Drosophila melanogaster: one gene and its partners. The protein of the gene in region 1 purifies or fractionates together with the protein of each later gene. This does not show direct contact. Each region holds a gene or a part of one and is shown in the gene's direction. Other genes may lie near its edges.

Region 1 (5,948 bases):
CGTCGAACTTTAATGCTGACCATAATGGGTGCAGATTCTTTCATTGCACAATCATAGGCAACCACGGACAGAATGTGGTTATGAGAAGCTTTGTGAGAAAGTGGTTCAGTGTTTTTAATTGAACCTTCGTTATCTATTGAAAATGGTTCATCATTGTTAAGAATCTCATATTTGCAAACATCACCAAAGAGCGGAGTGCAGTCTTTATCGGAAGCTTCGACTCTTAGGATCTCGTTATAAAGTCTTCCCTCGTCTACTTCAATTACGTAAGACGGTTCTAAGAATGTTGGAGCATACTCATTTACGTCGATAACAGTAATATGAACATTGGCTGTATTTGAAGGTGTTCCATCACAATAGATTGCACAGATTTCAAAGTGATAACTTTTACGATTCTCGCAATTTAGTGTCCGACGTGCTTTTAAAATACCTAGGTTATTTACCAGTTCAATCTAAAATATGAAGTGCAAGTTATTACATTACTAAAAAGTAGTTAAAACTTACCTTAAATGGAATTTCGTGATACGGTTTTTTGAGAATATGGAAGTTACAAATTTTCTCTTCGTTCACTTTAATAAGGGGAGTTATTTCTACAAGTGTTTCATTTTCTCGAATTAAACCGTGATATGACTTTTCTAATATGATTTCTGAAATACAACAAGTAATTTTAATACAGCTCTTATTTTAAAGTTCTAAACCAAGGATGTTACAAAATAAACAAGAGAGAATGCTATAGTCGATTTTCCCGACTATCAGATACCCGTGTGAATGCGAAGGCGAAATATCATCATTTTTCTGGGATATCGATAGATAGTGGGGAATAAAATGAGAAAATTCAAAATTGTTCAAAAATGGGCGTGGCGGTTTTGGGCGGTTTTAGGGCGTTAGAATGAGCGTGGCAAAGTTTTTGGGCAATAAAACTTTTTAAAAATATTAACACATTTATCAAAAGTGAGGGCGCGACAGTTTTACGCGGAAGTCGGAGTGGGCTTAGCAACATGGGTCAACAAACTTGCGCTGCGTCTTTGTCTCTAGAATCTATATGCTGAACCTCAACCTTCTAGCTTTTATACTTTCTGAGATCTCGACGTTCATACGGACGGTCAGACAGACAGGGCCAGTTCGACTCGGCTATTGATCCTAATCAAGAATATATGTATATACATTATATAGTCGGAAACCCTTTTTTCTGATTGGCACATACATTTACACGAATCTAGTATAGCCTTTTACTCTACGAGTAAGATGTATAAATATTTCGATTCTGAGGTGTAATTTCAGTAAAGTAAAGGGATATACAATACCTTTCTGTGTTAAATATTCATCATCATTTTCGCTGGACGTTTCAACTCCAGCAAACAGGAGTTCAAAACATATTAATACAATGCATCCGTAACCAAAGGTTTTGTGAAACGTCATGGCTCTATTCGAAGTTCTTTAATAATCAAGCCCAAATATATTTATTTTGCTGAAAGAAAATGATTTTCATATTGAAATGCAAACACCGATTTAAGCAAAAATACCACAATTGTTTTGTTTCTTAAATTAGTGTTCTTCCTTTCTATTATTTTTAAAAGCATTAAAACTACATGAACTTACATAAATATATTGTACATATGTGTATATATTGAAGATTATATTTTATATTTTCCCAAAACTCGTATCAATAAATCTTTAAAAATCATGTACCTAGTAGATGTTTATTTTCCGTTCTTTAAGATAAAAATAATAATAATATAATACATTGCAATTTTATACTCTGTGATGACACATTCGACTTTAGAGTAGTTTTTCTTTCTAATACGTGGTAAAATAAGACAAAGTTTTGTCGTGTGTAGGCCCTACACCCTTTCGCAGTTTTTATACAATATGTTGAAAACGCGAAAACGAAATTCGACAAATTTTTTTGTTGCTTAATAAATTTTTTGCAGACACATAAAATTATATTTATTTCTGAACATTTTTTTAAGATTACACAGTCTTGCGCTTCAAGGGCTCTTATGAAAGGATAAACAATGAATGAATTTTGAGAGAAAAAGAAACGTTCAAGGAAAAGAAGTATTACAGAGTTCAGTTCATAATAATAAAAAATTAAATATTGGTTAAGCCGAGATTTTGTTTTATACTTTGGAAACACTTCTTCTTTCAAAGCACTCAATATAAATTTTCCTGATAATTTATTCTGGAAAGTATCTAGAAAACAATCCTGAGTAATGTTTACGAAAGTATTGTAATATAGTCTCGGAATATATCCAGAAGACATTTAGGGAATGCTTACAGAAGCTTTTCACGGAGTTCCTACAGCACGGGAAGTATGAAAGAGCCCGGCAAAAAGGAACACCAAATTTCCTCCTCATGAAACCACTTCCACTCGAAAAAGAGTATCGAAAGTGTTCCGGAATAATTCCACTACCGTCTCGGTGCTTCTCTACTTTTTTCGTTGGTACAATACAATAGAAAGAATGTAACCAAAGCAACAAGAATTACGGCCAATTTTTTACGTTAAATCAAAAACTTTTTAAAGTTGTTGTTGGTGTTAGAATAAAATAGATAAGTTATTCAAATTGGTTCGGATTTTCTTTAATTATATATATGTAGGACAGAAAGTGGAAAGTCTGGGAATTTTAGTAGCACTTTTTTTTAGTTAGTCTCATTTTTTGTTGATTAGCTTACAGCTCCAAAACACATTTTATTCGAGGACCGTGTATAAACTCTAGTTCCCGTGACTATATATGATTAAACATTATAAAATGTACCACAGTGAAACTGATTGTTGGATTACATATATGTATTACATTAGTATATATGAATATGCATGGATGAGAAAATCTTGTGTATGTGTTGTATCCAAGAGATACACATTCTGTAATGAACTTGGATTGCCTAACTGAACGAATAGCGAACCTATCCGAAGGGAATCATGCGTAACCTAAATACTTTGATTATAACTTTTACATATGCATAGATTTAAATCGACTCAAATATGAAATAGTACAAGTTAATTAGACGGGGCACATTAACAAAATCTCAGAAAATAATTTTTTTTGTTTCATTACATAGTTTCTTACTTTTGTCAGCAAAATAATTACTTGTGACGTTTGAAAAACTAGTTGTAAGTTTAAATACAGAAGTCAATACACTGGAAACGTTTATCCGACATTTTCAGATCCTTGTGTGGAAGTGGTTAATACTTGAAAAGTGATTAAAAAAAACAACATATAAGGCCCTGTGGAGACTATGCTCTAACATTTTAATCGAATTTTAAGTGATACCATGGTTTGTTTAAAAGGAAAGTTAAGGGGTGCTTACGCTGTTTTGATTTACAAATGACTGGAATTTTTGGGTAGGATATTTTCATATATAGATATTTTGATTCCTTGATATCCCAAGACTCAACATTTTTTTTTTATTTTTGATCAGAGGCAGAATATTTATGTTGTTAACTATTGCAAATCGCAACCAAAATATAGTGATTGTCATTTATCTTGGCCTGATATCGACATATTGGCAATAGCAGACCTTTGATTAATAAAAATGTCTTAATTTTTGGTTAATAGAGAGGAAGAACCTAAGTTTTTTGTTTTCAGGCAGCTTTATAGTGTTTGAAAAATTTGTAACATCGTTTTTAAATTTGATTTTTAAATTTGATTTGAAAAAGTTGTTTTGGCAATTAGAATTCGCGAATAATACCATAGTCCTACAGAGCACATTCGTAAAAAACAGTTGTGATTTTTAAAAATTGTGTAACTCCGAGTCTAAGTTATATGCTCACTAACCCCTTGGGGGCAGCCTTTCTAGGTCAATTTAAATATTTCACTTAAAAAATGTACACGAAAATGGTTTTATCGACATTCGACTTAATGGCGCAGTCAAAACATTGTATTATCGATGTAGTTTTGTGTTTCTTTTTATTGTTTTCATCAGACCATGCTTAGGGTATAGTCAACATACTGTTATTAGTATTTTATAGAAAACAGTATTTTTAACCATCGTTTAACTTTTCTGAAAAGTACAGCATTATTAATCGAATGACTAGTTTACACGTCAATTTACTGAAGTTACTGAAGACAAGCTTTTTCCTATACGAAATAAAATAGTTTCTTATTAAACATGGGACTAACAATATCTAGTCTTTTGACACGTTTGTTTGGAAAAAAACAAATGCGTATTCTTATGGGTATGTTCAAAATACGATACACTAAATATAAGCCTTTAGTTCGCGCATAATTTTTAAGTACTTGCAATCAACGTGCACATAATTTTAAATATTTTTGTACGCAGTTGGCTTGGATGCTGCTGGAAAAACGACTATTCTGTACAAATTAAAGCTGGGTGAAATTGTAACCACCATACCAACCATAGGCTTCAATGTCGAGACTGTGGAATATAAGAATATATGTTTTACCGTTTGGGATGTTGGTGGCCAAGACAAAATTCGCCCGTTGTGGCGACACTATTTCCAAAATACACAGGGTCTTATATTTGTAGTGGATTCCAACGACCGCGATCGTATAACTGAAGCTGAAAGAGAACTACAGAACATGGTACTCATTTTATTTAATTAAAAGTATATACATACGTGTCAACCAATTCCATGTTTATTTTTCCCACAGCTCCAGGAGGATGAACTTAGGGACGCGGTACTTTTGGTTTTTGCCAACAAACAGGACCTACCGAATGCAATGACAGCTGCCGAGCTTACGGACAAGTTGCGCCTTAACCAATTAAGGAATCGCCACGTATGTCTTAGGGGTAATTGTCCCAAAAATGTTTACTTATATCTACCCATTTTTAGTGGTTTATTCAGTCTACATGTGCTACCCAAGGGCACGGTCTTTATGAAGGACTTGATTGGCTATCAGCTGAATTGGCTAAAAAATAAAAATATTCCTTATATTGTAAGATAGGAATTGCTGTTCTCGTATGCTGAAAACTAGATTTTAAATAAACTTGTAAATGTATATAAACTCGTTTGGAACTTTGTTGTAAATTTAAAATGTCCACGTTTTATGTGTTGGTGAGAAAACTGCACTTGCCTTAGTTGTATTTTTAAAAATTAGTGATCGGATAACTAATAAAAATATATTTTTAACTTACTTATTCGGGAAAATATATGTTCGTTTTTTTATTAGTATGCCTCAATACCATTACCAGAATTCAATCAAATAAACATATTTTTGATTCGTACTCATTTATGTTAATTCAGTTTTTAATAGCCACCAGATTTGTTGAAAACTACGTAACTGTTAGCAGAAGCGTTTCCGACCTTAGAAAGAATATATATTCCTGATCAGGACCAATATCCGAGTTGATCTGGGCATGTCCGTATGAACGCCTCGGTCTCAGGAACTATTAAAGGTAGGGAATTGAGATTAGACATGCAGATTCTATGTCCGTATGAAGAGAACTATTAAAGGTAGAGAATTGAGATTAGACATGCAGCTTCCAGAGGTATTTACGGAGAGAAAACTTTTGATATTTTAAAATATTTTTATTAGTCTTGTAACCCAAAATCCCCAAAACCCCCCACCCAAAATCGCTCAAACATGCCGAACATTCTTAAAAAATTGGTTATTCTTATTGAAATCTTTCACACTTCCTGCTGAGTAAATGGTATCTGATTCTCGTGGAATTCGAGAAAGAATTCGACAAAATATAAAACTATGAAAAAATATCGAAAGTTTTTTAAAAATGTGGTCGAGGCCGTTTTGGGTGGTTTTATTGCGTTAGAGTGCGAGTGGCCAAAATTTTTTTTGGCAAATCGATAGAAATTTACAAGACTAATAAAAATATCAAAACATATTTCAAAAGTGTGGACAGTTTTGGCCAGTTTGTTTGCGTCAAAATTGGCTTGGCAACATCGGCCAACAAACTTGCGCTGCGTCTATGTCTCTAGAATCTGTATGCTTAATCTTAATCTTCTAGCTTTTATAGTTCGTGAGGTGTCT
Region 2 (8,270 bases), on another chromosome or scaffold:
GACGCGAGGTTTTACAGTACAGTACGCTCTGCCTACGGCCGTCCCGTCTTACACACTCTTTCGAAATGTTATTTGTTTTTTATTCTAGAGCTCGCGCTAAACTAAAACTCATTTTTAAAGCGGCATTTCGCATTCGTTGTAATACAATTTATTTTACTAATGGAATACGAAGCAAAAATTATACAAATATGCATATATATTTATAAAAATTACCATATAGACGAATACCAAAGAATACCAAATATTTATTGAACTATTCAAACTTAAACCAAGGATAAAACCAAAGCAAGCATAACTACAAATATGTATAAACACAATGATATTTAAACCAAAAGCAAATATGATAATGAAAACATTTATGTACAAGTACAAGCATACTTTTTTCCACTTTATATACTATGTACAAGCAAACCATGCATAACTATTTTTAGCTAAATTACAAGTATGGCAAGTTAAAGCAAAATCAACCTTTTTAATAATAATAATAATACTTATGATAATTTATTCCTTTTGTACTTCACGACTTTGTACAGGAAAGAATCCGAATAGCGAATATCAAAGATTGCAACAAAAACTCAATAACCTAGGGCTAGCCCTCGATCTTTCGATCTAGCCCCGCAACAGAGAAGAACACTATTTATATACAAAACAAACGTACCGTCTAAGACATTCGATTCTTGATTTCAACCTATGTATGTATGTATTTCGTTCGAGTCCATTCATTTCCGTTGAATCTGTTAAATTTCGAGTGCCAAATCAATGCACCATGCACTTCTTGAACCAGTAGACCGAAACTAAACGAGTTCCATGTTCCACTCACTCAATATTAGGGTTTTCGAAGAGGAGCTTTCCGGACCAACTACTTAAGATATAGTGCCACCCAACGGTCCTGCACCACGTAATATTTATCTATGCCTTTGTTCACCAGGACTCCCTCTACTCGCTTCAAAACATCAGAACCGAACACGATTTGTACATACACAACTTATACGTACATACTACCAAAGGTGTATATTTTTATGAACAAGACACTAGAAAAATGCAACTAAGGGAAACGAAACTCAGATACAAATGTAACAACTAATGAATAACATATCCTACCACACAGCTTAAAGTTGATATACAAAACGTAACGGAGCTCAGCGAGCCCACATTCATCGGATAGTTTCGATACCCGATCACCGATCGCCGATAACCAATTGCTAAAGTCCCGTTCCATGTTTTGCTTTCGTTAGTTACCAAGTTGGGTCAAACTTTGCTCATTTCCTTATGCGGACTACAGTGCTCATCGGCGAAAAGGGCTCTCAATTATCCGCTGAGTGTGCGCTCCGAAGAGTTACAATCCGTACTATCCGTACTATATGTACGGTCACCCACATAAATAGGCAATACCAATAACAAATGACAAATGTTACAGTACAGGCAATCCAGTAACTGCGGGCTGAAGCTGCTCGCTCTTCCACCTTTCGTTTCTTTCGATACCACCAAATTAAGATAAATGTTATGGGAATATGATAGTTTTAATAGATTTTCTACAGTTCCAATTTAAAGCGAATAACAACCAAGTCAACATAACGTGCAATATATATATTGATAAGTGTAAAGGGAAAACCAGAAGCTTCCGTTAACAAAAGTATGCATTTCACTACCACATATTGTTTCCGTACTTTTTTAATCCCTCGAACGGAGGATAAAATCCACTCCAAGGTCTATGCTCACTCAGAATCAGAAAAACTGGATAGGCAGAGGACGAACAAACCTAATCGCATCCACAAACACGCATAGACACGCACACAACAAAAAGAACCGGACAACAATAAGAGCAGCAATAAAAACGAAGATAAGGACGAAGAAGACCGTTCACTTAGGAGCCAAGCCTGATTATGAAAAAAAAAAAAACGAAATCGGAATAATCCGCATTTCATTGTTTTATTGATTCGAAATGGCTTTGGACGATTGTTTTCTTATTGATTGATTTTCCAGCTGAATATACCGGACCTAAGTTTTTGTTTATTTCATAAGACTGAATTACTGGAATATGATTTATTTAAACGTGTATATAATTAAGGTGTAATAGCGAACTTTACAACTTTTACTAATGAAACATCAAAATTTTTAAAGTTATTCCGAACTTATTTATTAAAAAAAAAAAAAAAATAGATGAAAGTGAGGAGAAGAAAAGAGGATACAAGTGATGAGAAAGTCGTGAGCGAATGAAGTTAATATGCAACTATTAATATACAATTTATATGGGAAAATCCCCATGTGAAAATGATGATATATATATATATATATATATATGTATATATATATTTCAATGGATCGATAAAAAGCAAATGAAATGAAAATGATGTTAAAATATAAGAAAACAAAACATTTTTTAATTCAATACTACTCTTGATTTGTTTTATGTGTTAATAACTTATTAAATGATATTTCTTGAGAATATTAAAAAATAAAATTGTTAGGATATTCAATTATGTTTATTTCAATGGGGGATCACGGAAGTCTCGGTTTTTGATAAGGCATCGAACAATTAAAAATTTCTATTAAAACATTCGTACATAATGTACTTTCCTTTCAGACTTAAAGGAGCGCATTTTATTGAAATAAATATTCTATTTCATGTTACTGCCGTCTTTCATTCTAATTTAATATTGAAAAAGGATATTGACATCAATTTTAGGTGAAGATATTGAACTTTTTAACATAAATAATTTGTAAATACAATTGAAAATTAAATTTTGTATAACATTATTATAAATAACAAAGTTAGCCTGTTGCTTTTACGATCCGTTACTTTTCAGATGTAATATAGCCATCTCACTCTAATTCGCTATATTGCTCTCTGGTGAGAGCGTCGACTTCGTTTTTCATTGAGATTTCAGTTTACTTCATTGGCTGTCCTTTATTTTATATCTGGAAAAATCTTCTGCATGATTTTCCTAATCTGAGCTCTTTTACGAGTAGGATATGTTGACCTTGATCAACACCAATTTCCAAAAAAAAGGAATTTAATGCACCCACTTATTTAAAAATGTTTCGATAATAACACAAAACATCAGTTTGCGATAAAATCGCAAAAACTAATCGATTTATCAAAATACTAAACAGAAAAAATACCAGCGCTTCGACAAGTCACTCCCCTGTAAACGGTCGCACTAATTGCAGATAGAAGAGAAAAGCTAACAAATCTTTGTGCCCGAAAATCAACTATTTGAAAGGTAATTAAAAGCAAGCTGCGTTGGCAGAAGTCTCCCCAAGTGGGCATAGGCGCAGTCCAACTGAGGGCTTCTTTTTCCCCTGGCCAGTTCTGAGTCATCCCGAAAATCGGGCCCCTTTTGAGACGTGTTCAAGCTGCGATAGGGGCGAATGTGTTGGTATTCGGATGATTCCGCCCCCAAGATGTGGTGTGGTGTTGTGAGGGGGGATTGCAATCAATAATCGCACTTCTTGTGCCGGAAACTCCACGTTCCCCTCTCTAAACTCAATCTCGATTCCAATTTCAGTACGCAGCTAGGAGCAGCAGCCACGATGACTGATTCCAAGTACTTCACCACCACCAAGAAGGGCGAGATCTTCGAGCTCAAGTCGGAGCTGAATAACGACAAGAAGGAGAAGAAGAAGGAGGCGGTGAAGAAGGTGATCGCCAGCATGACCGTGGGCAAAGACGTGTCCGCCCTCTTCCCGGACGTGGTCAACTGCATGCAGACGGACAACCTGGAGCTGAAGAAGCTGGTCTACCTTTATCTGATGAACTACGCCAAATCGCAGCCGGACATGGCCATCATGGCGGTTAATACGTTCGTGAAGGACTGCGAGGACTCCAATCCGCTTATCCGGGCGCTGGCCGTGCGCACCATGGGCTGCATTCGGGTGGACAAGATCACCGAGTACCTGTGCGAGCCGCTGCGCAAGTGCCTGAAGGACGAGGATCCGTATGTGCGCAAGACGGCCGCAGTGTGCGTGGCCAAGCTGTACGACATTTCAGCCACAATGGTGGAGGACCAAGGCTTTCTGGACCAACTGAAGGATCTGCTATCTGACTCGAATCCCATGGTGGTGGCCAATGCGGTGGCCGCTCTTAGCGAGATTAACGAGGCAAGTCAGTCCGGCCAGCCCCTCGTGGAGATGAACTCGGTCACCATTAACAAGCTGCTGACGGCGCTCAACGAGTGCACCGAGTGGGGCCAGGTCTTTATCCTGGACTCGCTGGCCAACTACAGCCCGAAGGATGAGCGCGAGGCGCAGTCCATCTGCGAGCGAATCACTCCGCGTCTGGCTCACGCCAACGCCGCCGTCGTTTTGAGCGCCGTCAAGGTGCTGATGAAGTTGCTCGAGATGCTGTCCAGCGACAGCGACTTTTGCGCCACGCTCACCAAGAAGCTGGCTCCGCCATTGGTTACGTTGCTCTCCTCAGAGCCGGAGGTGCAGTATGTGGCCCTGCGCAACATCAATCTGATTGTCCAGAAGCGGCCAGACATTCTCAAGCACGAAATGAAGGTGTTCTTCGTGAAATACAACGATCCCATTTACGTGAAACTGGAGAAGCTAGACATTATGATCCGCCTGGCCAACCAGAGCAACATCGCCCAGGTGCTTAGCGAGCTGAAGGAGTACGCCACCGAGGTGGACGTGGATTTTGTGCGCAAGGCAGTCCGCGCCATCGGGCGATGCGCCATTAAGGTGGAGCCCTCAGCCGAACGCTGCGTGTCCACGCTGCTTGATCTTATCCAGACCAAGGTCAACTACGTGGTGCAGGAGGCCATTGTGGTCATCAAGGACATCTTCCGCAAGTACCCCAACAAGTACGAGAGCATTATCAGCACGCTGTGCGAGAATCTGGACACTCTGGACGAGCCGGAGGCACGCGCATCAATGGTTTGGATCATTGGCGAGTACGCAGAGCGCATTGACAACGCGGACGAGCTGCTTGACAGCTTCCTTGAAGGATTCCAGGTAAGTTTTTCTCTGGATTTGCCAACATTATCAGGACTTTGAATTGCTATTTTCTCTTTCGCCAGGATGAAAATGCACAGGTGCAGTTGCAGCTGCTGACGGCCGTGGTTAAGTTGTTCCTCAAGCGCCCGTCGGACACCCAGGAGCTGGTGCAGCACGTACTATCATTGGCTACCCAGGATTCGGACAACCCCGATCTGCGTGACCGTGGCTTCATCTACTGGCGTCTCCTGTCCACGGACCCGGCCGCCGCCAAGGAGGTGGTGCTGGCCGATAAGCCACTCATCTCAGAGGAGACCGACCTTTTGGAGCCGACATTGCTGGACGAGCTCATCTGCCACATTAGCTCGCTGGCCAGCGTTTATCATAAGCCTCCCACCGCGTTCGTGGAGGGTCGCGGAGCCGGTGTGCGCAAGTCGCTGCCCAACCGAGCCGCTGGATCTGCAGCTGGTGCAGAGCAAGCAGAAAACGCAGCCGGCTCAGAGGCAATGGTCATTCCCAACCAGGAGTCGCTCATTGGAGATCTGCTCTCCATGGATATCAACGCACCCGCCATGCCATCTGCTCCGGCCGCCACCAGCAATGTGGACCTTCTGGGCGGCGGTCTTGATATACTCCTCGGTGGACCGCCAGCAGAGGCGGCTCCCGGCGGTGCCACCAGCCTGCTAGGCGACATTTTTGGACTGGGCGGAGCAACGCTATCGGTGGGTGTTCAGATTCCCAAGGTCACATGGCTGCCAGCGGAGAAGGGCAAGGGACTCGAAATACAAGGAACGTTCTCACGCCGCAACGGCGAGGTGTTCATGGACATGACTCTGACCAACAAAGCCATGCAGCCGATGACTAACTTCGCCATCCAACTGAACAAGAACAGCTTCGGCCTGGTGCCCGCGTCGCCCATGCAGGCTGCTCCCCTTCCACCCAACCAATCGATCGAGGTCAGCATGGCCTTGGGCACCAACGGACCCATTCAGCGCATGGAGCCGCTCAACAACTTGCAGGTGGCCGTGAAGAACAACATCGACATCTTCTACTTCGCGTGCCTGGTGCACGGCAACGTGCTGTTCGCCGAGGATGGGCAGTTGGACAAGCGCGTGTTCCTCAACACCTGGAAGGAGATCCCCGCCGCCAACGAACTGCAGTACACCCTGAGCGGTGTAATTGGCACTACCGACGGCATCGCCTCCAAGATGACCACCAACAACATCTTCACCATCGCCAAGCGTAACGTCGAGGGCCAGGACATGCTCTACCAGTCACTCAAGCTGACCAACAACATTTGGGTGCTGCTGGAGCTAAAGCTGCAGCCGGGCAATCCGGAAGCCACTCTCAGCCTCAAATCGCGCTCCGTGGAGGTGGCCAACATAATCTTCGCCGCCTACGAGGCCATCATCCGTTCTCCATAAGCGTTCCATGGCGCACATCCGATGGCATAGGATAAGCACAAAGCAATTGGAGCTATCGATTTGCGTGTGTTGAAGATTAGCTCAACAATAAGTTGTAAATTTACGTATTATTATTATATTGTGTATTGGCCGAATCGCCACCTACATATATTATTTATGCATATGCACACATATAAAATCCAATCGGGTTCGTCGAGAGATCTGTTAATTGTTAATCGGAGCTGCTTGTCACTCAGTGTACTAACGTGTAATAGCAACGTTGCATAACCGCATTCCAAAACTCTGTAACCCCATATGTCCTATGGTCGGCATCTATGTATATGTTTGTGTCCTAGTAAAATGCGAAACACTAAATAATTGTGACATTGTTTTCCTCGACGGCAGTTGCACTAAGCACAGTTTCTATTCGCTTTCAATGGTCATTTCTACAAGGTTCCAAATACGCATGATTATGATTTATGATTTTAGTATTATAATTAAAACTGTGTATTATAATATTTGTCCGTTCGTAAGCCTGAAAGATTTTTATACTTTCAGCTCAAAGTCAAAGTGCATCAAAGTAAGTTTTCTAAGTCGAAGATCTGAGAAAATAATTGCATCAGTTAGGTTAAAAGTCAATATATTGATCAATATTTAGGATCATTAAAATCCAAAACTAGGCTTGAAACTCAAAAGTTAGATTTGAAATATCATATTTACTTGAAAATTCGTTAAGGAGAAAGAGGTTTTCCTGCTGCAAATATAGAATCCATCAGATAGGAGTTGCAAAGCGCTTTTCCCGCGCAGATCAACTTTGCGTCAAACTATGGCCACGCCCACATTGGCCCACGTATGTAAGTGGAGCATTCTGTAGCGATTTGTACAGACACCCAAAGCTATCGAAGCTACCGAGGAGTCAAACCATATCCCAAAGCTTTGCTTCCATGTTTACAGGGATAACCATGTTGTATGCAAAGGATATACATATATATATATATATAATGGATTCCCAACTGATCATGCTGGTCAGTGGAAAGATTGCAGCAATTGGTACTAACTGAGGCACCCACTTAGCAATGGTTGTAATGGGCTCATCAAGACAGCAGTGGACCAGTTAAGGGTATAAGCGGAATGTGGTATACCTGGTCAGGGATGCGAAGGATGGGTGGTGGCGTCGAGCTTCGGCGCCTGAGCTTTCGAAGCTTTCGCGCGAACCCTTCGGGGGTTGTTTGGATGCCTGTGCGACCAACGAGAGCGCAAGAGAGGACAGGCTTGCCCATCGAGGACGTGGACGTGTAGCCATCCCTGTCGTGGCCACAGGACACACTGACTGTTTGCCTGCTCCACTGTTTTCCTGTTGTACCACAAGCTATTCTGGCTTGGCCCCGATTGTAACGAATCCGTATCGCACGTCGCAGTGCGAAAATGTGTGCAAATACTGCAATGTACCCGCAGTAAATTGGCCGCAGGATCGCTTGACACTCGCTGCAAAAGGACATCCAGGTGCTACGCCCTATTTCGCAGTCAATCCAGCCAGGTGGTAGTATAGGTGTACAGGCATAGGTGTAACCAACCATGCCCCTGCGAACGGTGCAGGAATGCGGAGTCCTTTTGTGCCAGTGAAGAGCAACCAACACGAAACAACGCCACGAAGAGGACAATCCGCCAGTGCTGTGTAGAAGAACAAGAACCAGAACAACAAGGACAAGACCAAGAGCATCGAGTACACCAGATCGCAGATTCCGTTGAGAAGGGTCCGCCAAAAATTAGTCCGCCGGAATGAGGGTGGCGGCGGACATGGTGTATGACTACGGCAGCGAGGACTCCATGAGCACCACCCACCTGGACTGGCCCTTTCTCATCAAGGTTCGTATCAGCAGCCCCTCGCAACCGCCCTTGTCCATCAACCCCTCTTCCCAAACCCTC
Region 3 (8,810 bases), on another chromosome or scaffold:
GACGCACACCCCGTTCATGATGAAACTAGAACGCAAATGAACTTTGCCCCGCTCCCGCTCGAAATCGCAATCCTGCTCCTGGGCGTACGGATTGTGGTTGGCGTTGAAGTAGAGCTGCAGATTAGTTCCTGAAGCTACCATCGATATCTCCGCATAGCCCTTGCGGCAGTCGTTGACAAACCGCATCCTGCGCTCCTCCATTGCACGTTCCCGGTATCCTGTGTAGCGAACCTCGCTCTCCCTACTCAATCGGCGGAAGAGCTCGTCGCTATCGAACTTGGACCTCTGGTCAGGCACCACGCGGGGCATCTTGAAGATGAATCTGGGCTTGGGCTGCTCGTACATAGCCATGGCTTCGTATGGCGGGATCATTCCATTCATGGCGGCCGCGTCTCCGAGATTCTGGTGATGATGCATGTCTAATGTTATAACTGTATTCTCCGAAAGATATAGTTGTACTGATCAATGTTAAAATTGACCGCCTTATTTAAACAAAAAAAAAAAGTTGTAGAACAGGTAATCGGGAGCGATTGGGCTACCTAACGAATCCCCTAATTGTCGCCTGGTAATCAAGGATGGAAACCATCTGGACACAATAAGGATCAGGTATAGCACTTATAAGTATCCTATTTGAGGTTTGTTTTATAATCCGTAGGGTTTTTACAGCTCCGAATATTATACTTTGAGGATTGCAGGTATAATGCTATCATAAATAAAACGAACGAATTGAACGCACTATATAATTTTAAGTTTAAATTCGAAATTACGTTTTAGCGGTAATTTTAACAGTGTTGGTTAGCACAGCGCTTAAGCAAAGGGAGTTGCCAACCATGGCAGCCCAAGCAGGTGACAACTCTAGAGTCCGGGCACATTAAACAGCTGTTGTGTATTGTATTGTTTAACTTTAGCAATTTTATAAACATGTCGCTTGTTGCTTATGCTGCCAGTTCTGATGAAGATTCGGAGAACGAAGAGGAAAATTCTGTACCACAAGTGGAAGTAATAAAACCCCAAGCCAAGCCGAGCACACCAAGTGAAGCGTATCTAGCTCGGGAATCAACCAGTGGTCACATTAGTGATGAAGATGACGACTACGTTCCCCAGGAAGTGTCCCTTCAGGAGTTAAAGCCGCCCAACGGAAGACTGCTATTAGCCTTACCCAAACCAAAAGTCACTGCTCCCGCTAAGGATCTGGAAAATGAGGATGTGGACAACCAGGTTACTTCCGCCTTTGCCAACCTGCCCATGCCACGAACAGCAGCGAAAGGAAAAGCCATTGTAGAGGAGAAAGACGATGAGTTTCTGCACAAAAAGGCGCTGCCCGTAGAAATAGAGAAACCTCCACCGCCGCCAGTCAAGGGAAAAGTAAAAATCAGCATTCCTTCACTAAGAGATTTCTCAGATGTAGACCAGGAGAAAGCTGACAGGGCTAAGAACAAAGTTGATAAGCCCAATGTACCCAAGGGATCGGGATTGTTGAGTCTGCTGCCCCAAGCAAAGTCGGAGCGCAACTTCTCCAAGAACTCTTCATCCGCGGTAGCCTACCCATCAGCCAGCACTACTCTTGCTTCCAGTCTAAGCAATAATCCTGCGCAGCCTCGAGCAGCACCAGCTTTTGTTCCCGATACAGTTAAGCAGCGACGAGCTGCACACAACACCGAAGGCGTAGATGGCCCTAAGGCCGGGCACAAGAAGAATCCTGAGACAAAAGACGCTTTGAAGTCAACAAAATCCAAACCTATAAGTAAACCCACTTCGCTGGTAAATGCCAGCGATAGTGAAGATGATGACGAAGATGGCACTGGAGACTTTTTCTCCCTGAATTCCGAGCAAAAGCTGCCTGAGGTGAGCAGCAACGAGATTAGCGCTCTAGTGGCCAAGCGAGCGGCCAAGATGGTGGAAGCCAGTAGCAAGTACCTAGAGGAGGTAGCCGAGAAGGAAGCAGCCGAAGCAGAAGCCGCCCGACTTCAGGAAGAGCAGTCTCAGATTGCACAAAAGCGCTACCATGAGCAACAGTTAAACGCAGAGGCCATGGACGCATTGGTGGGCAAAAATGCCAAGCGCCGGCGGAAGGAGGCCAAGGAGATGCAGGTGATCGACATATCTGGGTCTCAGGTGCTACCTGATCGCGAGGAATGGATGCGATCGGCTCTGGCTTCGTCCACCACCTTCCAACCGACCGGCGTGCTGACGGACGAGGAGCCGGTGGCAGGGACTCGGCGCAAGCACCAGATCACCTACCTGGCGCACAAGGCGAAGGCCAACGAAGCCGAGCTGCAGGCCATGTGGTCGGCCAACCGGCAGACCCGTCGGGCCACCCAAAGCAAATACGGCTTTTGAGTTTTCACTTTATGTACACCTAATCCTACAATATATGCTTAATATTACTGTATCCAGCCCTCTCGTTTTCCCAGCCTGCTGCCAACATAGAAGATGGCGGTGCTCAGCAGCAGGATGACCGGGGCAACGGTCACGTATATGGGAATCTGTTGCGGGTACTCCAGCGTTAGGCAGATCATCACTTGGGAGGCGATGGTCAGCAGGACGCCGGCAATGTTCCATTTGTAGAGGAACAGGAGATCCGTCAGGCAGGTTAGGTTCCGCCACTTGCGGATAAATTTAATGATCACGTAGATGATAATGATCACATCGAAGAACCAGAGTGGCGTAAAGGTGACGAACCAATTCCAGGTGGTGCGTGGGTCCAGGCGGAGACACAGAAGAATCAGGAAGACCAGGACGATAAACCAAGTGAAGAGCGCCCGGTGTGCCAGTGTCATCTTTGTCACTTATTTATATATTTTCCATGGTATTACAGAAAATAAACAAAGCGAAGTTACCGTGAATAGAATGCACTTTGTCCAGTGCTGTAAAACTACGATTACAGTGGTCACTAAAAGTGTTCGTAGAAATACATTTACCAACTCAATTTTCGAATATTATTGACGAAGATTAAATATATTCAAAAATATCACGTAAAATCTGTATATTTAACTATATAAAGAAGACTGGAGAGCATGATAATTCATTCATATTCATGTGTGTACTTTTGAAAACTTATGGTTCCCAGTGTATGCACATCTGCCAACGCTGGCAACACTGACTGGGTCGCGAAGAAGAAGATAATTGACGTGTCACAATTTCGACGATTGGTTGGTGTTTTTCATAAAATTAATTGTTGGCAGTATATTACGTGTTACTTGTAGCGTATCAATAAAATGGGTTTGTTCTAACACCCACCTCTTGATGTTTTGATACAGGCAAGTGCTCGAACCAGCAAAAAAAGGGCGCTTGACGGATAAGCCGACACCTAGAAGTGCATCCAATTTGAGACACCTACAGGCAGAACAGAAAAAGTGCCACCATGCTGACCAACTTCGAGTCGAAGTCGGCGAGGGTGAAGGGCCTCTCCTTCCACCCTAAGCGCCCCTGGATCCTGGTCAGCTTGCACAGCGGCGTCATCCAGCTGTGGGACTACCGGATGCACACGCTCCTCGAGAAGTTCGACGAGCACGACGGACCGGTGCGAGGCGTGGCCTTCCACCAGCAGATGCCGCTCTTCGTCTCTGGCGGCGACGACTACAAGATCAAGGTGTGGAACTACAAGCAACGCCGATGCATTTTTACCCTCCTGGCCCATTTGGACTATGTGCGCACGGTGGCTTTCCACCACGAATACCCATGGATTCTGAGCGCCTCCGACGATCAGACCATACGCATCTGGAACTGGCAGTCGCGCAACTGCATCTGCGTGCTGACGGGCCACAACCACTATGTGATGTGCGCCCAGTTCCATCCCACGGAGGATCAGATCGTTTCTGCTTCACTCGATCAGACGGTGCGCGTGTGGGACATTTCGGGGCTGCGTAAGAAGAACGTGGCTCCCGGGCCCGGTGGGCTTGATGACCACCTAAAGGGTCATCCGGGTGCCACTGATCTGTTTGGCCAAGCAGATGCCGTGGTCAAGCACGTGCTCGAGGGCCACGACCGTGGCGTCAACTGGGCCAGTTTCCATCCCACCCTGCCGCTGATTGTCTCCGGTGCCGATGATCGCCTTGTGAAGTTGTGGCGCATGAACGAGTACAAGGCTTGGGAGGTCGACACCTGTCGCGGTCACTACAACAACGTGTCCAGCGTGTTGTTCCATCCCAGGCAAGACCTGATTCTCTCCAACGGCGAAGATCGCAGTATTCGCGTCTGGGACATGACCAAGCGCCAGTGCCTCTTTACATTCCGGCGGGACAACGAGCGCTTCTGGATACTTACAGCGCATCCGACCCTGAATCTGTTTGCAGCTGGCCACGATGGAGGTTAGTTGATTTCTTTTAGGAATAGGAATTTTTTGTAATGATACATATTCTTTCAGGTATGGTGGTCTTTAAACTGGAGCGAGAGCGTCCTGCATATGCTGTCCACGGGAATATTCTCTACTACGTCAAGGAACGTTTCCTTCGCAAACTGGACTTTACCACCACTAAGGACACTGTGGTTATGCAGCTTCGACCAGGCAAGTCGCCGGTGTACAGCATGTCGTACAACCCAGCACTGAACGCCGTGCTAATCTGCACGCGCACCAACAACCTGGAGAACAGCACCTACGATCTTTGCCAAATCCCCAAGGACACCGAGAGCCAAAGTGAGTCGGACAGCAAGCGAAGCTCTGGAATCACGGCCATCTGGGTGGCACGCAATCGGTTTGCAGTGCTTGATCGCAACCAGCAGTTGGTGATCAAGAACTTCAAGAATGAGGTGACCAAGAAGTTGCCAACTTTCTGCGAGGAGATCTTCTATGCCGGTACGGGAATGCTGCTCATTCGGGACCCTGAGTTTGTCACACTGTACGAAGTTCAGCGCCTAGTCTCCGTTGGAAGCATTAAACTGGCCAAGTGCCGCTACGTGGTGTGGTCTCCGGACATGTCCTTGGTCGCTCTACTCTGCAAGCACTCGGTTACAATCTGCGACCGAAGACTTCAGTACTTGTGCACCGTGCAGGAGAACTGCCGCGTGAAGTCTGGCGCCTGGGACGAGTCTGGAGTGTTTATCTACACCACTAGCAACCACATTAAGTACGCCATTACAAACGGGGACCACGGCATCATCCGTACGCTGGACCTACCCATTTATCTGACACGCGTCAAGGGCAACCAAGTGTTCTGCTTGGACCGGGAGTGCCGCACCCGTGTGCTCCACATCGATCCTACGGAGTACAAGTTTAAGCTTGCCCTGATTCAACGCAAGTACGATGAAGTACTGCATATGGTGAGAAATGCCCGCCTAGTGGGTCAGAGCATCATTGCTTACCTGCAGCAAAAGGGTTATCCAGAGGTGGCACTGCATTTTGTCAAGGATGAGAAAACCCGATTTGGACTCGCTCTGGAGTGCGGTAACATCGAAATTGCTCTCGAAGCAGCCAAGGCTCTCGATGACAAGGATTGCTGGGATCGCCTGGGACAGAGTGCGCTGCTCCAAGGAAACCACCAGGTGGTAGAGATGTGCTACCAGCGGACCAAGAACTTTGACAAGCTTAGCTTCCTCTACCTGATCACCGGCAACTTGGAGAAGCTCAAGAAGATGAACAAGATTGCCGAGATTCGCAAGGATGTTTCCGCCCAGTACCAGGGTGCCCTCCTTCTCGGTGACGTCAAGGAGCGGGTAAACATCCTCAAAAACTGCGGACAACTTTCGTTAGCTTATCTCACAGCCGCTACTCATGGATTCGATGAGCTCACTGAGTCCCTGGGCGAATCGATAACCTCGCAGGGTAACAGCCTTCCCGAGGTGAATCCCAATGCCCAGTTGTTGCAGCCACCAGTGCCCATCCAGCAGCTTGAAACCAATTGGCCGTTGCTGTCCGTGTCCAAGGGCTTCTTTGAAGGCGCCATGGTCACCAGGGCTGGCTCCAGTGCCACTGCCCGACAGGCGCTGAACATCAACGCCGATGCTGCACTGTTGGACGAGCATAATGGTGGTGGAGATGGTTGGGGAGCGGATGCCGACTTGGGACTAGATGAAGACGGAGATGACGAGATGCACGACGCGCTGAGCAACGATGGCGATGGTGGTGCGGGTGGAGAGGAGGGTGCCGGCTGGGATGTGGGCGATGATGACCTGGTTGTGCCCGAGGAACTGGCCTCCAAGATCAAGGCCTCAGCCCTCGACAGCAACTACTATGCGGCTCCCAACAAAGGCTTGTCTCCTGCCCAACAATGGGCCAACAACTCGCCTCTGGTCCTGGACCATGTCAAGGCCGGATCATTCGAAACCGCCTTCCGTTTACTGCACGATCAGCTGGGAGTGGTCAATTTCCAGCCATTCAAGACACTCTTCCTGCAGAACTACGCCTGCTCTCGAACGAGCTACACGGCCAATCCGAATCTGCAATCCCTAAGTGGTTACCCACTTCGCAACTACTCCGAGACAAACATCAAGCTGCAGCGTCCTGCGGTTGGCATTAAACTGAATGATTTGGTGGCACGCCTGCAAGCTGGGTACCAACTGACAACTTCTGGAAAGTTCTCCGAGGCAGTAGAGAAGTTCCATTCCATCTTGATTAGCATCCCACTGCTGGTAGTGGACACGAAGCTAGATGCGGCGGAGGCCCAGCAACTCTTAAGGATCTGCGCTGAGTATATCGTTGGCCTGAAGATGGAGACTGTGCGCAAGGGCATGCCCAAGTCGACGCTTGAGGAGCAAAAGCGTCTGTGCGAGATGGCCGCCTACTTCACGCACTGCAAGCTTCAGCCCGTGCACCAAATCCTCACCCTGCGTACCGCCCTCAATATGTTCTTCAAGCTGAAGAACTACAAGACGGCCGCCTCATTTGCCCGTCGTCTCCTGGAACTGGCGCCACGACCGGACGTTGCCCAGCAGGTGCGCAAGATCCTGCAGGCCTGCGAGGTAAATCCCGTGGACGAGCATCAGCTGCAGTACGAGGAGTTTAATCCGTTCACAATCTGCGGCATCAGCTGGAAGCCACTGTATAGGGGTAAACCCGAAGTGACCTGTCCCTTCTGCTCCTCCTCTTTCGACCCTCAGTTCAAGGGCAATCTCTGCACAGTTTGCGAAGTGAGCCAGATCGGCAAGGATAGCATTGGCCTGCGCATTTCAAACCTGCAATTCCGCTAGGACGGACTAGCTTGTCGCTTTTAATATAAATGTTTCCAACACGCCGAGCGAGACCCCATAGTTTAGTTTTACACGATCCTTGCTTATTATGTATAAAGTTCAGTATCTGTATATTATAATGCTATAAAATCAAACCAAACGACTTGTTTTCTTGATCGATACCTAGCCTCGGTAGGCAATTCCCAGTGAAGAGTCTTAGTCACTCTGCTTAAAGGTGGAAATTCCAAAATGAACAATGCCATATAGATTAGTAATTATGTATTTTAGTTAAAGATACGACACTAATTTCACACTAAGTTGTAAGTATAATACCATAAAAGCATACGTAAAGTAAGCATTACATCTAACACTAATCTAGGAGCATAATTATTCGAGCGTGTCTAACGTAATCGTATTGAAATCTCTCAAGTGAAAGCCCTCTTAAGGGGTTCGGAGCATTCTCAGTTGTCCATGAAATATTGAGTATTCGCGAATTGAGTCTCTAACTGCTGGTGATGCGTCTGCTGCTGCTGGGGAGGCAGCTGCGGATGGGACGGCCCAGGAGCCGTCCACAGGTCCAACTAACGACGCCACATGCTGGCGCCAACGCCAATGCCTCCGGAGGCCACGCCCCGTCGCACTGCCTCCATCTCGTCCTGTCGATTGTCACGGTAGGCGCGCTTAGTGTCCTCGAACTCACGCAGTCGCTGGTTGTAGCGATCGATCTGATCCCGCAGAATGGCGTCCTCGTGCATGGCGCGCCGCTCGTCATACTCCAGACAGCCAACTCCGTCCAGTCGTTCCAGGTCTATCCATCCACGGAACCGGACACAAACCCCGTTCATGATAAAGTAGGACTTGATGTGCACCTTGCCGTGCTCCTTGTCAAAGTCGCACTCCTTGTCGTGCAGGTACGGGTTCTGGTTGGCGTTGAACACCAGCTGCAGATTGGTGCCCGATGCCACGAAGCTGGCCTCCGTGTGTCCTTCGCGACATCCGTTCATGAAGCGCACCTGCCGCTCCTCGATGCTTCGTTCCCGATAGCCCGTGTACCGAACCTCGCTCTCCCGACTGAGCCTCCGGAAAAGTTCGTCGCTCTCGAACTTGGACTTCTGGTCCGGGACCACACGAGGCATCTTGAAGATGAAGCGCGGCTTTGGCTGTTCATACAATCCGATGGTGTCGTAGGGTATCATATTGGCAAGTGCCGCCTCGTTCATCATTTTAACGGGTTTTCGCGATTCGTCCGCTCGATGGAACGCTGAATAGGGTATGTTTCTATGGGTGCTTCTGCAGACCGCTGCGTGCACACAATAATCCCTGGAACTCGGTACCCTGGATGGGTTTCTTTTGGTCGCTCCTTCGACGAGCCTTCTGCGTATACACAATAAGCTCTTGTATCTTAGCACTCTGAATGCTAATTGTTTAAATTTCTCGCCTCCGTCGAAAAAAACAACGCACAATACAACAAAAAGGTTGGTTTGCGGTTTTGATATACCAACTGACGCGGCGTTGCCACTGGGAAATAGTGGAGAAGTCAAAACGTAGCGATGGAAGCAAAAGCACGGCACGAGCACCAAAAACTTATTCTTATTATTCATTCGAATTATGGATATAAGTCGCAAACATAACAATACATATTCATTTTACTTACCTACGGGTTTCATATTTAATTTACCAGTTTTTATATCATGCATTTTAACCAT

Evidence for each region. The genes of interacting proteins can lie anywhere in the genome.
Region 2: the proteins of Arf4 (region 1) and AP-1-2beta purify together in Drosophila melanogaster (affinity purification with mass spectrometry, with the first as the bait; one study listed by BioGRID). This does not show direct contact.
Region 3: the proteins of Arf4 (region 1) and alphaCOP purify together in Drosophila melanogaster (affinity purification with mass spectrometry, with the first as the bait; one study listed by BioGRID). This does not show direct contact.

Annotation. Positions count from the first base shown.
Region 1 is NC_004353.4:1,120,155-1,126,102, forward strand, and holds Arf4 (ADP ribosylation factor 4), read left to right. Parts: upstream 1-4,012; 5' UTR 4,013-4,110; coding exon 4,111-4,177; intron 4,178-4,281; coding exon 4,282-4,544; intron 4,545-4,613; coding exon 4,614-4,739; intron 4,740-4,795; coding exon 4,796-4,882; 3' UTR 4,883-5,171; downstream 5,172-5,948. Other genes in the region: Cals (calsyntenin), read right to left, coding at 1-452, 505-647, 1,305-1,419. UniProt on the Drosophila melanogaster protein: GTP-binding protein involved in protein trafficking; may modulate vesicle budding and uncoating within the Golgi apparatus.
Region 2 is NC_004354.4:19,727,866-19,736,135, forward strand, and holds AP-1-2beta (adaptor protein complex 1/2, beta subunit), read left to right. Parts: upstream 1-3,138; 5' UTR 3,139-3,224; intron 3,225-3,509; 5' UTR 3,510-3,534; coding exon 3,535-4,959; intron 4,960-5,024; coding exon 5,025-6,365; 3' UTR 6,366-6,716; downstream 6,717-8,270. Other genes in the region: CG14234 (uncharacterized protein), read left to right, coding at 8,124-8,210.
Region 3 is NT_037436.4:1,639,512-1,648,321, reverse strand, and holds alphaCOP (coat protein (coatomer) alpha), read left to right. Parts: upstream 1-3,122; 5' UTR 3,123-3,152; exon of another isoform or gene 3,153-3,260; 5' UTR 3,261-3,364; coding exon 3,365-4,310; intron 4,311-4,366; coding exon 4,367-7,125; 3' UTR 7,126-7,256; downstream 7,257-8,810. Other genes in the region: Bro (brother), read right to left, coding at 1-417; CG17249 (uncharacterized protein), read left to right, coding at 922-2,340; CG13919 (uncharacterized protein), read right to left, coding at 2,385-2,780; Bgb (Big brother), read right to left, coding at 7,686-8,327.